2 linked regions of the Xenopus tropicalis genome follow. Each later gene encodes a partner of the first gene's protein in a complex. Links are inferred from orthologs where the notes say so. Each region holds a gene or a part of one and is shown on either strand. Other genes may lie near its edges.

Region 1 (6,911 bases):
AATAAAAAAAATAAAAAATTTCAGGATTATTAATCTTAGATCACACATTTATAATGGAAACAGTCTATGGCAGTGGAGCATAGTGCCAACACCATATATTCTACATTTCCAGTGAGTCAATTCCTGTGCTTCATTAAATACATTTTTATTTTTTCTGTACATAGAGTGGTGTCAAGGACTGAAAGTGAAGAAATAATAAGTTTTATACCAAAATCTTTAATGCTTTAAACAGGGCGTATACCCATTGTTTATCGACTTCAATGACATACATATGTTAGATATTCTTTTTGCCAAATGTTTTAATTACAAAGCAGAAACCCTATTCACTGAGCTTATATTAAGACAGTGGTATAAATAACTGCTTAAATGGCAGTTATTTCTATAATGAAGGACCCAGTTTCCTTTTACTGAAGTGCATGCTAAGGTTCATGTACTTGAACCCAACGCCCAATATAGTACAATAAAAAACAATTTGCCAATATTAGTCCTTATGATTAATTCAAAATACGCTAATAATGTAGGCTGGTTGCTCAGGGAGAATTGTCTTGTGTTATTTTAATACATTGTGTATGATAAGGGTGACAACAGATTACCACCTTTACCACATCCAACTTACCAACTGCAGTCTTCTACTTTTATGTATGGGCTTTTTAGTTTTTGAGCTACATGAGGAGAAAAAAAAAAAAAGTAAATTTGTTTTGCTGTACAGGCTGAAAAACATTTGACAAACTTCACTTGATAGATATTTTTCTGAAATATGAATGAAAAAATTGCACGTGACAACTTACGTTTTACTTTCCGACGTGCTGGATGTTTGCTCTGAAAAACAATAAATAAAATGTAAGCAGAAATATCCCAATACACCTTCAGTTCGCTTTGTAATGCCAGTAACATACTAAATACTATTTTAAAAGGGTAAAGTAAAGTAAAAACTTCCCAGAAAGTTTAGGGGGTTCTGTTATAATCTTTAAAAACACCACTGTCAAAGATATTTGCTATTATGGACCAATCACCAGGATTAATAATGATGGCAGGATTAATAATATTAAAAAAATGAAATACAATTTATACGAAGTAGTATGTGGAGATCATTGGCATGTTGTGAGCCAGTCACATCTTAAAAGAAGCAACTTTTTGATGTGCTTTTGACTAACTTTTCTGTAACAGTGCCCAGTTGTTACCCATGTCTGTTGCTAACTCAACAAGTACCGTGTCCGCTGCAGGTAGTATAAAGAGGGAACACAACAGATTCCCAATAGTTTCAGTATATATGAGCCTGCAAACACATTAGGATTGGCTTGCCTAAGGCCTAAGTAAATATTTCCTTTCCCGCATTACACATAGAACAGAGACACACATTGTAGATTGAAACACTTACTTCAGACTTGACTACAGGTTGGGATTTTTTGACTTGCTGCAATGAACTTTTCTTCTTTTCAATGTAACGCTTTGCTTCTGAAATGTAGGTTGGGTGATACTGTTAAATAAGACTGAACAATACAGGGCTGCTTCTAGACATCTAGATTTCAGACTGAGGGACTCTTTACTAGGGATGCACCAAACCCACTTTTCACCAAACGGCCGAATACCAAACCGAATGCTAATTAGGATCGGGAAGGGTTAAACATCAGCTCACACTGAAAAAATCCCCCCCCCAAAAATGTAGCCCTTCGAAATGCAAATTAGCATATGCTAATTTATGCTAATTAGGATTCAGATTCGATTCAGCCGAAATCGAACCCTGCAAAAAAAAGGCCGAATACTGAACCAAATCCTGGTTACAGTGCATCCCTACTCTTTACACTTATCCTATGAGGATTCTGCCCTGCCCCCAAATACAAATCGACTTGCACTTGATATAGTCTTGCCACAAATTATGAATTAAAAAAAAAAATAAACATATATAACATATAATTATTTGTTACATATACAGATCCATCTCTCGCCATTTGCTTGGGAACTTATTCCTTTATGGCAAAGGTTATTAACTATTGACTTTATTTAGAAGGAAGATTTATCAACGCTCGAGTTTGATATTTTTTTTTTTTTAAAGATTCAAGTTTTTTGTGCTAAATGTGAACGTTTATGTTTGCTATACATCACATTTTTAATTTTTCCCCGCCACACACAGTATTTATAGATCATTTGCACTTGGTTTTGTAACTTTGAGAAAGGCTGGTTCTACAGCTGAAACGTCAGTTTCTCTTGTTCAATAAATGTCTTTTGTATTTTCATAAATCCTGTGAGACTTCTATATGTTCTACTTTCTATCGAAATTCTATGAGGATTGCAACCAGGCAAGTCTCTTTACCAGTAACACGAGTGCTGGCATTTTTATCTAATTATATATAATATACATACACACTGCAGTTACACACCTGGAAGGTGTCACTTTAAACAGAGTTGTTTTAAAATATTTCTAATGAATCAAGAACCAAATATGCAGATACTTACGTATAACACTGCATAGGAAATTTCCCAATAAAAAGCAATGTTACCTTATATAAATTGGGGTTGCTGGATAATGCTATTAAAACCAGTAAAAAGATAAATAAAATCAACATGCTGCATAGCTATTTCTAAGCATGCCGCAGACTGCTATGGTTTTTATACAGCTTGAATCCACACAATGTTGCCTATGCACAGGTTTATTATAGGTCATTTTTTCTATGTTTTTATAATAAAAAAGATGAAGCTACCAATTCATAGACATTGTTTGCAATCAATCCAAAAGAAAGAGAAATAGGGAAGAAGAAAAAAAAAGTCTTACCTTCAACATGAAGTATTTTAACTCCCCAGTTGAGGGCATTAGATAAAATACTATTTTTTGGTAGAATTTCCTGTGAAAATAGATACCAGAAGAACAGACTATATCAAAGCAGTTTACCATAGAAGAAAAAAAGAAACCACCATAAATATTTCTAAATTAAAAAGGAGAATGCCGTGGAACAAATCACCCGCTAATTTTAAAACAGGGGGTGTACTAAATGTTCCCTTTAAGCTGTGTGTTCGTGCACACACAGCAAATTGTGGTGCACACAAAGAAATTTGTATGAAAACACAACATTCTGTATCCATTCTGACCTGAACACACCATTTTTTAAAATGTGCACACAAAAGATATTTTTGCACACATAGCCAAGATGGAATTAGATATAACATTGGGCGTACTGCCCCTCTGAACAATCTGTAAATGAGCTATTTTACTAGTAACAAATAATAGACTGAGGAAAGCAAGAAAATATAAATAGTCATTAGCAAATGTAAGAGTCTCACCTGCTCTTTGATCGCCTTTTTCACTAAAGATTTCCCCCGACTTACAAGGCTCTGTTTACACAATAAAAAAAAAAAAAAAGTTCAGATAAATGTTATATTAATCAATATCTGAGAAACTTTGCTTTTTCCTGACTAAACACAGCACTTATGTGTAGTTTGACAAATGTTTTCTCTCATTGCACAAAGTTTCCAAAGACTTTTACAGCACAGCAACTCAAGAATTCTTGAGACACCAAGAATTCTCAAGTCAGTGGAGCAATAGATGGACTTCCATTTAAACACACACATTGATGTGTAATTAAATGGTTTAAACAGAACTTGCTGACAGGTTTGGGCACCCGAGCTTTAACCGAAAAAAAAATAAAAAATATGATACTGTTCCTTTAAGATAGGGGAACTAATAAATCATCCCCAAAAAAGGTCATGTGACATTACAGCTCTGGACAGATGAAACAAGCAAATATTTAGCAAATTATGCAATATTTTGGTCTATTTAATTTTGGTCAGATATGTATTATTTGCATAATAATTTGCAAATTAAATATCTGACCAAATCTTTGAGATGATAAAATATGTGTTTCTTCAAATGCTCGGTGTTCTGTGATGTGCATTTTCTACGTGAAATCTGCCCCCTTGTGCACAGCGGCAGGCTGACCCCCTTCCTGTCAGTGACTGTACACACAGGGCAGCACTGGGCTAACTGAAAGCTACAGAATGTTCTACCCCATTATAAGAATACACTTACTCAATTCTACACAAAGAAACTTGCATGATTTACATACTTTTCAATGTTAATAGACAATCAAGGATTTTGCACAGGACTTTGGACTAATGTAATGTTTCTATGTGAGCACAATTTAAAGTCAGAAGTTAATTTAGCCTGATACCTTTTCATTTTTTTTACTTGAATTTCCTTCTTGAGGTAATCGCCTATTGCCTGGGCTGGTTGAACTCTCTCCGGTGTTTTGAGCAGGTTCGGGACTCGGTACAGAACAAACATACTTCAAAGTCTTCACACATTTTGCTTCCTTTTTACTTGTTATAAGATAGCTGATTTCTTTGCTGAGAAATCCTTCAACAGTCTGAGAAAATATGGAGGGGTAACAATTTTAAGACATTTTAAAACAGATAACAGTTCCTTTCACCTGTTCACACCTCCCAGACAAGGCAGTATATCACAGCTTAATGCCAACGGCTTCTATAATTAGCAGGCAATTGAAGGTTCATTTACGAATTTGTAATGTAAAAAGTAATGAGTACAAATGCTAATTTCTAGCAAAACATTCTCTCTTGCAGCACAGGGGTAACAGATATTTAGTACTTCTACAGATGAGCCACTCAGAAATTTATCTGAAAACATCCTTAAAGGAGTAGTTCACTTTTACAAAATCTATTGCTTTCAAGTAGTAGTAAATCAGAAACTATAACTTTAACAGCTTTTAAGGGGAAGGAAAGTAAACATGGTAATATATCCAGCTGTGATAGAAAGCACACAATTGGTGTGTGTGTAAGCAGCACAAAATCAGCATAACGCAATGTTTGTATAACTTTTACTGCACGTTGGTTGCCTAGCAACAACATTGGCACCAACTTAGGTTTGTAACACACATGGTGCTGGTGTCCCTGATGAAAGTTCCAATCAGGAACAGAAACGTTGGACTGAATAAACCTCATTTTTCTTCACCTGATGACATTGGGTGCAAATCCCTTTGAGTGCCATCACTACCTACCGACATACATAAATAAAAATGTAATACAATACAATCTTTTACAATGAAGTAAAAGATACACTAGTTGCATTAAGTTTTTTATAGTTGACTTACACCTCCAAGTTCTTTTATGTCTTTTTCCAGTTTTTCAGATATTAATTTGGATGTTAGGTCAAGATAGAACACTTTCCCAGAAAAAGGTTTGCATATGTCTGCTTGAACTTTTCCAGTTGGATTCTTCACTGTTGCTACAGTGGATTTCATTTTCACACCTCGCCCATGTGGTGCTCCTTCAAAACAAGAGAAAAAGGCAATCTGTATTATTACAACATTCTCCGACAACTGTTTTCTTCTCTATCGAAAAAATGCCAAGCTTTTCCTTGAGCCAATAACCTAACTTAGAACTTTAAAGGAACAGTAACACCAAAAAATAAAAGCTTTTTAAAGTAATTGAAATATAATGTACTGATGCCCTGCATCAGTACAGGGAAAAGGCACAGGTTACATAGCCGATAACAGATAATCTCTGTAGAATACAGTGTTTTATCTATTATCTGCTATGTGCCTTTTCCCTTTTGAATGGCTGCCTCTGTGGCTACACGGCAGCTTTGTTTATATAAATTTCTGAGGCAAACATACCAGTTGTACCAGGGCAGGGCAGCAGTACATTATATTCTAAATTACTTTTATACGCTTTCATTTTTTGGTGTTACTGTTCCTTTAACAAAATACACAAATTAAAAAGGAAAGATGTATATTTACAAAAGGTGAAAATTTCAACTCACTGTTCCTTTGCAACTTGGGTCCCCTGCTAGCTTCATTTGCTTTGTCCTCCGGAGAAAGCACCACCTAAGAAAATGTAAGATCAGTTAACTAACTTGTAAATGCAAAGATTGGTCATCCCAATGGTATGCATTCAATACAAAACCATGCAAAACTGATAACGGGCCAAGTACAGTGGATGAGCAAATGGGAAAAATTACAAAGGATAACAGATTGTAAAAATATACATATAGGGGCACATTTACTAATCCACGAATCCGAATGGGAAAAATTCAGATTGGAAACGAACATTTTGCGATTTTTTTCGTAGCCGTTACGATTTGCTCGTATATTGTCGCGACTTTTTCGTATTGAGCGCTCGTAAACGGCAGGCAAACCTTTCAGACTTTGCATGATTTTGGAAGCCTCCCATAGGACTCAATGGCACTCTGCAGCTCCAACCTGGCCCAAGGAAAGTCACGATACTGAAGCTTGAATGAATCCGAAACTTTCGTACTCGGCGCGACAGCTACGAAAAAGTCGTGACAATTCACGCAAGTCGTAACGCTACGAAAAAGTCACGACAATTTACGAAAAAATTGCAAAATACCGATCATTACGGAAAAAATGCATTCGGACGCTTTTCGGACGTTCGTGGATTAGTAAATGTGCCCCATAGTGTGTTTTCTAACACTGCCCCTCTATACGGAATAAGTTATGTGATACTGCTGTATAAACCCACTGCTTTCACTCTATAATTTACGCTGTTGTCACCTGTGTGACTACCAACATTATTGTGCAGTTACACATATAACACCATGGCCAATAGCATGCAGCAAATGGCATTGCTCCAAGCACAATAAACTGTGACTACTGACCAAGTACTTCCGATAATAGATCAGAACTTCACATTCCAATTTAATTTGGCAATTTTCTCAACCAGCAGAGACATGTAATGTATTAGCACAGTTTATGTCCTAAGTTACCCTAAGTAATTGGCATAGTGGTTAGCATTGCTGCCTGTCTGCTACTCCTTTACATTAACCTTTCAACAACAATTAGTAAACACTCTCTCCCAAGCAAAAAATCATAAAACTGTGAAGCTGTACTCTGTTGGGCATGCACAGGTCTAAGTTGGAGAGTGCTAGCTGGAAGAGAAAGGTA
Region 2 (7,534 bases), on another chromosome or scaffold:
TGATTGTTTTAAGCCCAGAGTGAAACAAGCACCATATATATTCATTATTGCTTACAAGATTGGAGGGAATTTTCACTTATGCTATATGTCTCCTTTGAATTGAAACAGGTTATCTGTTGGCATGGGGATATATAAATATTTATATACATAAAATTTGCTTTGAGTACAGCTGTTCAGATGTTTTCATGTATCCTGAAAACAACAGATGTTCTTTTAACTGTTCATGGAGACTAAGACAATGTGTCAATAGACAAGAACAGACGTTGAACAATATGCAATGCTGGACAAAGCTGTAATTAAACAAAGTTTAATGTAGGATAGGATGACAACTATTTAGATCAGGGACTGGAAATAAGCAGAGGTTTCCTGCATATAGCCAATTACTGTGAAGGACCAGCAAAACTAAAGAAATGAATGACAGAGGGGGAGAGAGGCATGTAACTGGAAAGATACAAATTCTAGATAGTAAATATTATCAGCAAAACAATGGGAGTTCCAGAGCAAAGCCACCAGACAGTACCTTATACCAATGATGCTCAACTTTTTTGCTCAGTATCCTAAGTACTACAGTAAATTTCTAAATCAGGGCTTTCCTGCATTCAGCCCTGGGCTGTGCCTAGGACTTTAAGGGCACAACCATATGGGGTAGACTCTCTTCCTGCAGATGAATGCAGGCCCAGAATCCGCCGCTACACTGAAAAAGCCCATTGATGAGCCAGCACCCAGAGCCACTGCATCAGCCCAGGTGCAGGCACACAGAGCAGATTCCGGTGCATAACTGCTCAAGTGCACAGTTTTCCGCTCTGTGTGCCTGCACCTGGGCCGTTGCAGTAGCTCTGGGTACCGATTCTCGGCCCACGTTTATCTGCAGCTCGAGAATCCACCCTGTGCGGCAGTGTCCTAAAGAGTCAGATTAGCACCTTTTTGTTTTCAATTGCTCATAAGAGGAATACAGCTACCATAAACACTCCCAAACAAGGAAAAATGGGCAATGTAATTTATGCCAGGTTGAAAAGTACTGTCATTAGGATAAATGTACTACTTTATTAAACCACAAAAAAGCTACAGCATTCATTAGATTCATTGAAGGGATTATATATACTTACCCAGCTACTGAAAGGCACTGGAGTTCTGCTGCAATTCGAGTTGGATGACTTGTGGGGATTAAATGTTTTAAAGCAAACGTTACATCTTCTCCAGACCTCAGCCTTCCAATGGCCAAATACACAGAACTAAATGTACCTTAAAAACAAAATATTTGTTTTATTGCTCAGGGTAACTAGTGTTTTTAGTGTCTGAGTTATGATCACCCTGTAAATATTTTTTTCTTTTATTTTCAGTGTTTTTGTTGCATTGTTATCCATTTTATTGTATTTTAAGTACTTTTTAGATGCAGATTGCTTGTGTGAGCCTGTAAAACTTTTATAGCACAGTGAAACTACTGAAACTGGAAATTTCACAACCAAATTCTCTGGGCAAAAAAAGCTGCATTCTGCATTGCTATTGATTACTTGTTTTTATCCATGAAAATTGTGCGTGCAACGTTTTTATTTTGGTGCCTTTACATTGACATAGTTAGTTGAATTGTGTATACTGGGCATTAAACCATTCAGTAGACCCCCCGTGTTCATATTTAGGATCTGTATGTAAAGATTCCTGAGGCATATTATTAGGGATGCACCAAATCCGAACCCCCGAATCCACCGTAAGGAATTTGGCCAAATACCGAACCAAGTCCGAATTAGCATATGCTAATTAGGATTTTGAAAGGGAAAAATAGTTCACTTCCGTGTTAACATGACAAAAAGTTATGTGATTTTTAGGATTCGGTTCGGCCAGAACCGTGGATTCCGCCAAATCCTGACGAAAAAGACTGAATCCTGGCCAAACACTGAACCGAATCTAGGATTCAGTGCATCCCTACATATTATGCTAGGCAATGCAACTTTTAGAAATCTCATAAAAGCCACAAAATTTAGCAAAGTTTTGCAGTTTTCAGGGGTCCACATACTCTTAAGGGCTCTTATGTCACATACAATGCATGCCAAATCCACGTTCCTGGCCGAACTGAATCCGAATGTTAAAAATCACATGACTTTTTGCCACAAACAAGGAAGTTGAAAATTTTTTAAACTCTTTAACCTTCCTGTATCCTAATTTACAAATCCAAATTCAGTCTAATCTTTTACAAAGGATTTGGGGATTCGGCTGAATCCGAAATAGTAGGGATTCGTTGATTAGAGCAATGCCAGTATAGAATCAGAGCAAATATAACTGTGGAATTCATATTTACAAGGTCTACAAGGTTTTTGCGGGATTGCATAGGTGGAAAATAAAAATTACGCAAATAAAAAAGTGGTCATTACTTCTTAAAAATAAAAGATTTTTTTAAATGACTTTCCTGTGAGCAAATTCTTCTGGAAAAACAGATTTTATTTTGGTGATATTGTGACTTTTAAGCATTTCATCTCAGTGGCTGAAAAATTTTGTAACAATATATAAAAATTAAAAAAAGCCTTTTACCTTCCCCAATTTTGCTTTTAATGTAGAAAATATTGCGAAGTTGAGGTACAGCCGCATACAGCTTTTCAATTTCCTTTGCCACTCCTGTAATTAAACATACACAACACCTTTACTGTTTTCTTTATGCTCATACAGCACTACTATTAATACATAGGGGCACATTTACAAAAGCACGAACCTCCGAGCGTATTTTCGCCAAATTTTTCAGGCGTCCGCACGACTTTTTCGTACGCTGGCGCGAAAAAATCAGAAAGGTTTTACCACTGTTTACAAATTTTGTGACTTTCGGATCGCCAATACGATATTATCGTGACTAATACGATTTTTTCGTAAGCATTTTTGGGATATTTGCGATCTTCAGAAATTTTCGTTTCCAATCCGAATTTTTCCCATTCGGGATTCGAATTCGTGGAGTAGTAAATCTGCCCGATAATGATGAATGCAAAATTGTTTAGACACAGCAAGTTCTTAAAGTAAAAAAAACACACAACCCTTGATGAATGCATCGAGTTAAGGTCCCCATACACGGGCCGATAGTAGCTGCTGATATCGGTCCCTTGTACCGATTCGGCAACTAATCGGCCCCTGTATGGGCACTCCCGACGGGCCTGCCCGACCGATATCTGGCCTGAAATCATCCAGATCTCGATCAGGCAGGTTAGAAAATCTAGTCGGATCAGGGACTGCATTGGCTCGTTGATGCGGTCCCCAGACCGACTTTTCCTATACCTGCCGTTATAATTCGAATGTTTAGCTCCAGGGCCACACGATCTAATTACCCTGGATTCTCCCAATATCCCCCACCTATAGGTGGGGGATATCGGGAGAAGATCCGCTCGCTTGGCGACATCGCCAAATAAGCGGATCTTATGGTGTATGGGGACCTTTGGGTTGTGTGGGTTTGGGCTTACTCCTGAACACCATTTGTGGGTGGGTACGGGTTGAGCTCTTCCTTCCGTGACCTTAGACTGCCAGCTTCTGGCTCCTTTAATTTATAAGTGCACGTCTGCTCTGCCCTGCCCATTTCATGACATCAGAGATGGGCAGGTCAGATGTGAGTCGACTTTTAGTCAACCCACACATCCCAAGTGCATAAACACTAAACTATTATGCACATACAGCGACACCTACATTTTACTTCTCCAATACATAATGCATTTTGAATTAATCCAAAACTTTCGTACTCGTTGCAATAAATACGATTTTGTTGCACAAATTGTCAAAGTGCAAAAAAGTTGCGCAAATTAAATAAAATCACAAAAAATACGCACAGTTCTAAAACTTATAAAAAAATACAATTCTTTTGAATTCGGACTCAATCGTACTTTGATAAATGGGCCCCTAAGTAGCAAGATCAAGAGTCAAGGCTGACAAATGGAGGAAACATAGGTATTTGCTACTTGTTGGTATACACAATATAATTCCCTGCTGAGAGAGGATAGATAGCCCAAGCTAGGTGCCAATTGTTAGACTGTAATCTCTTTTGGCCAAGGCCCCTGTCACTTTTTTATATCTCTTTATCGGTTGCTTTGTGTGTAAATCTGTATGTTCAATGTATACACCCATTTATATAGATTCTATTCAATTCAGTATAGCTAAAAAGTATGACCAGAGCAGTGAACTCTGTGAGAACAAAGCTATATGAGACCAATGTGGCTGAGCTAGAAAATATAACTGGGAGACAACCAAAAAAATGATTTTGACGACAAGATCCCTTCATATATTATTAGAGAATGGCATTTTTTAAAACAACTTTTTAATTCTTTCATTTGTTCATAGGTTCTTAGTTTGGCTTCCTCTTTGACCCTTATTTGAGAGCTAAAAGGAGTCACATGACCCCAGCAACCAAAAAAACTATTGCTCTGTGAGGCTACAATTATGTTTTCTTTAATTTTTATTCTTTAATAATTATGTTTTCTTTAATTACTTATCTTTCTATTCAGGTTCTTGTCTATTCATATTGCAGTCTCTCATTCAAGTCAAGTTAAACATTTTTTACAAAAACAAAAGACCAAATGCCAATTGTGGAGAATATCCCTTAACAATATCTACATCATACTAAAAGTTCATTTAATGGTAACCTACCCCGTTATTAAGTTAAGCAGCACTATTGTTAAGCTGAACAAATGGGTGAACTTATAACTATATAAATTAGTAAAAGTAAGTAAGTAAGTATGCACAGTTGTAGCAATCAAATGCCCTTTCTAATCCAGTCACCCTGCAGAATACACAGTCCTCACTGCTTTACAAATGCCCGCTGTATGTTTTCAGAGGGCGGAAGTAAGAGGCGGGGAAAAATCGGGAGTTTTAAATCGCCGATCATATTGTATTTGTAATTCTAATACACATAGTACCTAAAATGCCGTTTCAATTACCTGCAGTGTCCCCCGAACTCATTCTCACCCCTACAAGCAATGTGAATCGAATGGCGCCAAAAATCACCGGAATAACAACACACAGCTGCACAGAAAGATCGCGCCCGGCGGGGGAGGCGGGGCTAACATTTCGTCCTAAACGTACCATTGGTTGTATTAACAGAGACGTGCCACTACAGCCTATAGGAAGGCGCAAGGGGTGTGACGCATTGCAAGCGATTGGCTAGTTAAAGGTTGCTGGAACTGCGAAATGTTTTATGGAGAATACTTGGTTTAGGGAGGTAGACAATTTACTATTGGTTGGAAGGAAGTCGGTTTTATGGTAAGGAATTTCAAAAATACTTGTGAATTTTAATAAAATTTTACATTGTTTGGTGTCGGTGGTTTTCAGACGTCACTTTATACTGTCCAATACCTAAAACAATAAGACTCGCTCGTACCTACTCCTATCTGCTTTACAGTCATGGCAGCAAAGTCCTTGTCTGTGCGCAGAAAATAAGAAATAGCCGTGTGCCCCACTAAAGTTTACTCATGAATTATCTATTAGAACAAAAGTTACCTTTTATGTATGTATGAGGTGAAAGTATGGCTATAATGAATAATTGGCTACATTTATTTAAATGTTTTACGGTTTTAATCTGTTCCTCACAAACAAAAGGAAATTATAATTTATAATAAATGTTTTTTTTTTTAAGTAATGCAGCCATTAAATTCTTTTTTTCAAAATCAACAACTGCAGGTCGGCTATGGGTAGAAAAGAACATAACATTTGGTCACAAGTTTGCTAATAACAAGAATATACATTTTAGCCAAAAGGATATAGATATATAGATCTGTGTATATGGGTATCCCCAAGGAACACAAATATAATGGTGCATGTGAGAGGAAATGTACTGAGGGGTTGGTATGAAGGTACAAGCAAGGATATTGCTAGCTAAAATGGAAGAGTTTTTAATAGTAGGCTTGAACAAGCTGTAGTTAGAGCTGTAATGTTAGAGATTAGAGAAAACAGAGATGACAGAAGATCTGACAGTTTGGGAGGAATGAGGTATAGTGCTGTCAGCAAGATAAATTCACTTTAAATTGGCCTTTCACAGATGCAGAGGGGCCTCTGCTTTTGCTGCATATTGACAAGATAAATGGTGTGCAGAGAGATGGCCATGGCATTGGGCAGATAGGGATATAACAGAAGCTGACACTGTTCAAACTCTTCCCAATAATAGTAGCCACTGAATTGTGGAGTATGATAATAAACAACATGTCCTAACATTCTTTGCCAAATAAAGGCTATCCTGTTCCAAAAAGACGTAACAAGGTTAGTGTCTTTTTTGTCAAAAGACAATTTAGACATGGGGGCACATTTACAAAAGCACGAACACTCAGTGCATTCATTCGACCGCTCCGAGCGTATCTTTGCCAAATTTTTCGGGGGTCCGCACGACTTTTTCGGACGCCTGCGCGAAAAAATCGGAAAGGTTTTACTGCTGTTTACAATGGTTAGGTACGAAAATTTTGTGACTTTCGGATCGCCAATACGATATTATCATGATTTTTTTGTAAGCATTTTCGGGATATTTGCGATCTTCAGAAATTTTCGTTTCCAATCTGAATTTTTCCCATTCGGGATTCAAATTCGTGGATTAGTAAATCTGCCCCTTGGTGTGCGACAGCAGATTTCTGCTATGTTTTGCAAAACCATTCAAATTTTTATGTTGTCAGATTCAAAAATGAATTTTTCAGGATATTTAATGGGGACTAGCTGCAACTGGTTGCTTGCAGAAGAGACCACCAGGTAACGACTTGGTGGAGCAACCACTGCTGAGTTCTACAGGTACCAGGTTTGTTGGACATGTCTGCACCTGAGGTGACCGAACAAATGAAGCTGGTATACTTGGAGTAAAGCAAGGATGTGGTACACTATCTTATGCCCAGAAAGTGGGCCTGTTTGTTGCGTTGTGGTTTGGTTTATTATCTTGCTCAGTTTTGGGCCTATGGGAATTCATCTTCTAGCCAGGAGTTAGGTTATGTTTGACCTCATATTAATGGTGAATGGTTGTGGGAGCTTTTTGTAGTGCAATTCAAACATATAAGGCCCGCTTCCCTTTTTGTAATCAAAAGCAATTGACAGAAATCACACTCTGGCATAAAGAAACTATATCTGACAGAATAGGTCCTTGCTGCTACAGTGACAGAAATATTCAAATTACTCCCCAAAATTCCATCCAATGAATAGAGAAGACTGCAGACATCTGGGTGCCCTGAGTAGAGCCAACTAGTTTTGAGACACAACCTGTCTAGATATAAACCATGGACTGTGTGGGGAACTGTTGGTGCATTTTCTGGTAAGTCACTGGAAGCTTTTTAGGGTGAAGACACACAGAGATACTAGTAGCAGCTACTTGTCTTCGCTACAAAAATAGACAATGCTGATCATTTACTGATAACTGTCTCTATGTGTGTTTCAGCAGAAGCATTTAGTACCCATGACAACAAGCCCTTAGGGCTACTTGTTACGAGGGGGGCAAATATTGGATCCCCCCAAGTTATGGTAATTGCTTACCTTTTACCCCAGGCTGGTACTTCTGTTAGAAGAAAACTACACCAGTCCAGTGTAGCTGCGAGGGACTGATCCTCTT

The links. The genes of interacting proteins can lie anywhere in the genome.
Region 2: the proteins of dbf4 (region 1) and cdc7 are in contact, whole or in part, in a crystal structure (PDB 6YA8), measured with the Homo sapiens proteins. The link is inferred for Xenopus tropicalis from reciprocal best matches to the Homo sapiens genes DBF4 and CDC7. Residues at the interface, in NP_006707.1 of Homo sapiens: Thr210, Arg211, Thr212, Gly213, Arg214, Leu215, Lys217, Pro218, Phe219, Val220, Lys221, Val222, Glu223, Asp224, Met225, Ser226, Gln227, Leu228, Tyr229, Arg230, Pro231, Phe232, Tyr233, Leu234, Leu236, Met239, Pro240, Ile242, Asn243, Tyr244; in NP_001127891.1 of Homo sapiens: Asn56, Val57, Phe58, Ala77, Gln78, Leu79, Gln80, Ile87, Ile93, Pro94, Thr95, Ser96, His97, Pro98, Ile99, Arg100, Ile101, Ala102, Leu105, Gln106, Thr109, Lys121, Tyr122, Cys123, Phe124, Arg125, Asn127, Asp128, Val130, Leu143.

The regions. Positions count from the first base shown.
Region 1 is NC_030682.2:29,279,275-29,286,185, forward strand, and holds part of dbf4 (protein DBF4 homolog A), read right to left. Parts: intron 5,835-6,911; 5' UTR 5,771-5,834; intron 5,276-5,770; 5' UTR 5,250-5,275; coding exon 5,100-5,249; intron 4,359-5,099; coding exon 4,164-4,358; intron 3,328-4,163; coding exon 3,277-3,327; intron 2,841-3,276; coding exon 2,771-2,840; intron 1,456-2,770; coding exon 1,379-1,455; intron 820-1,378; coding exon 789-819; intron 663-788; coding exon 617-662; intron 1-616. UniProt on the Homo sapiens protein: Regulatory subunit for CDC7 which activates its kinase activity thereby playing a central role in DNA replication and cell proliferation. Required for progression of S phase.
Region 2 is NC_030680.2:104,924,709-104,932,242, forward strand, and holds the start of cdc7 (cell division cycle 7-related protein kinase), read right to left. Parts: upstream 5,032-7,534; 5' UTR 4,921-5,031; coding exon 4,899-4,920; exon of another isoform or gene 4,878-4,898; intron 4,783-4,877; exon of another isoform or gene 4,609-4,782; intron 2,608-4,608; coding exon 2,524-2,607; intron 1,243-2,523; coding exon 1,107-1,242; intron 1-1,106. UniProt on the Homo sapiens protein: Kinase involved in initiation of DNA replication. Phosphorylates critical substrates that regulate the G1/S phase transition and initiation of DNA replication, such as MCM proteins and CLASPIN.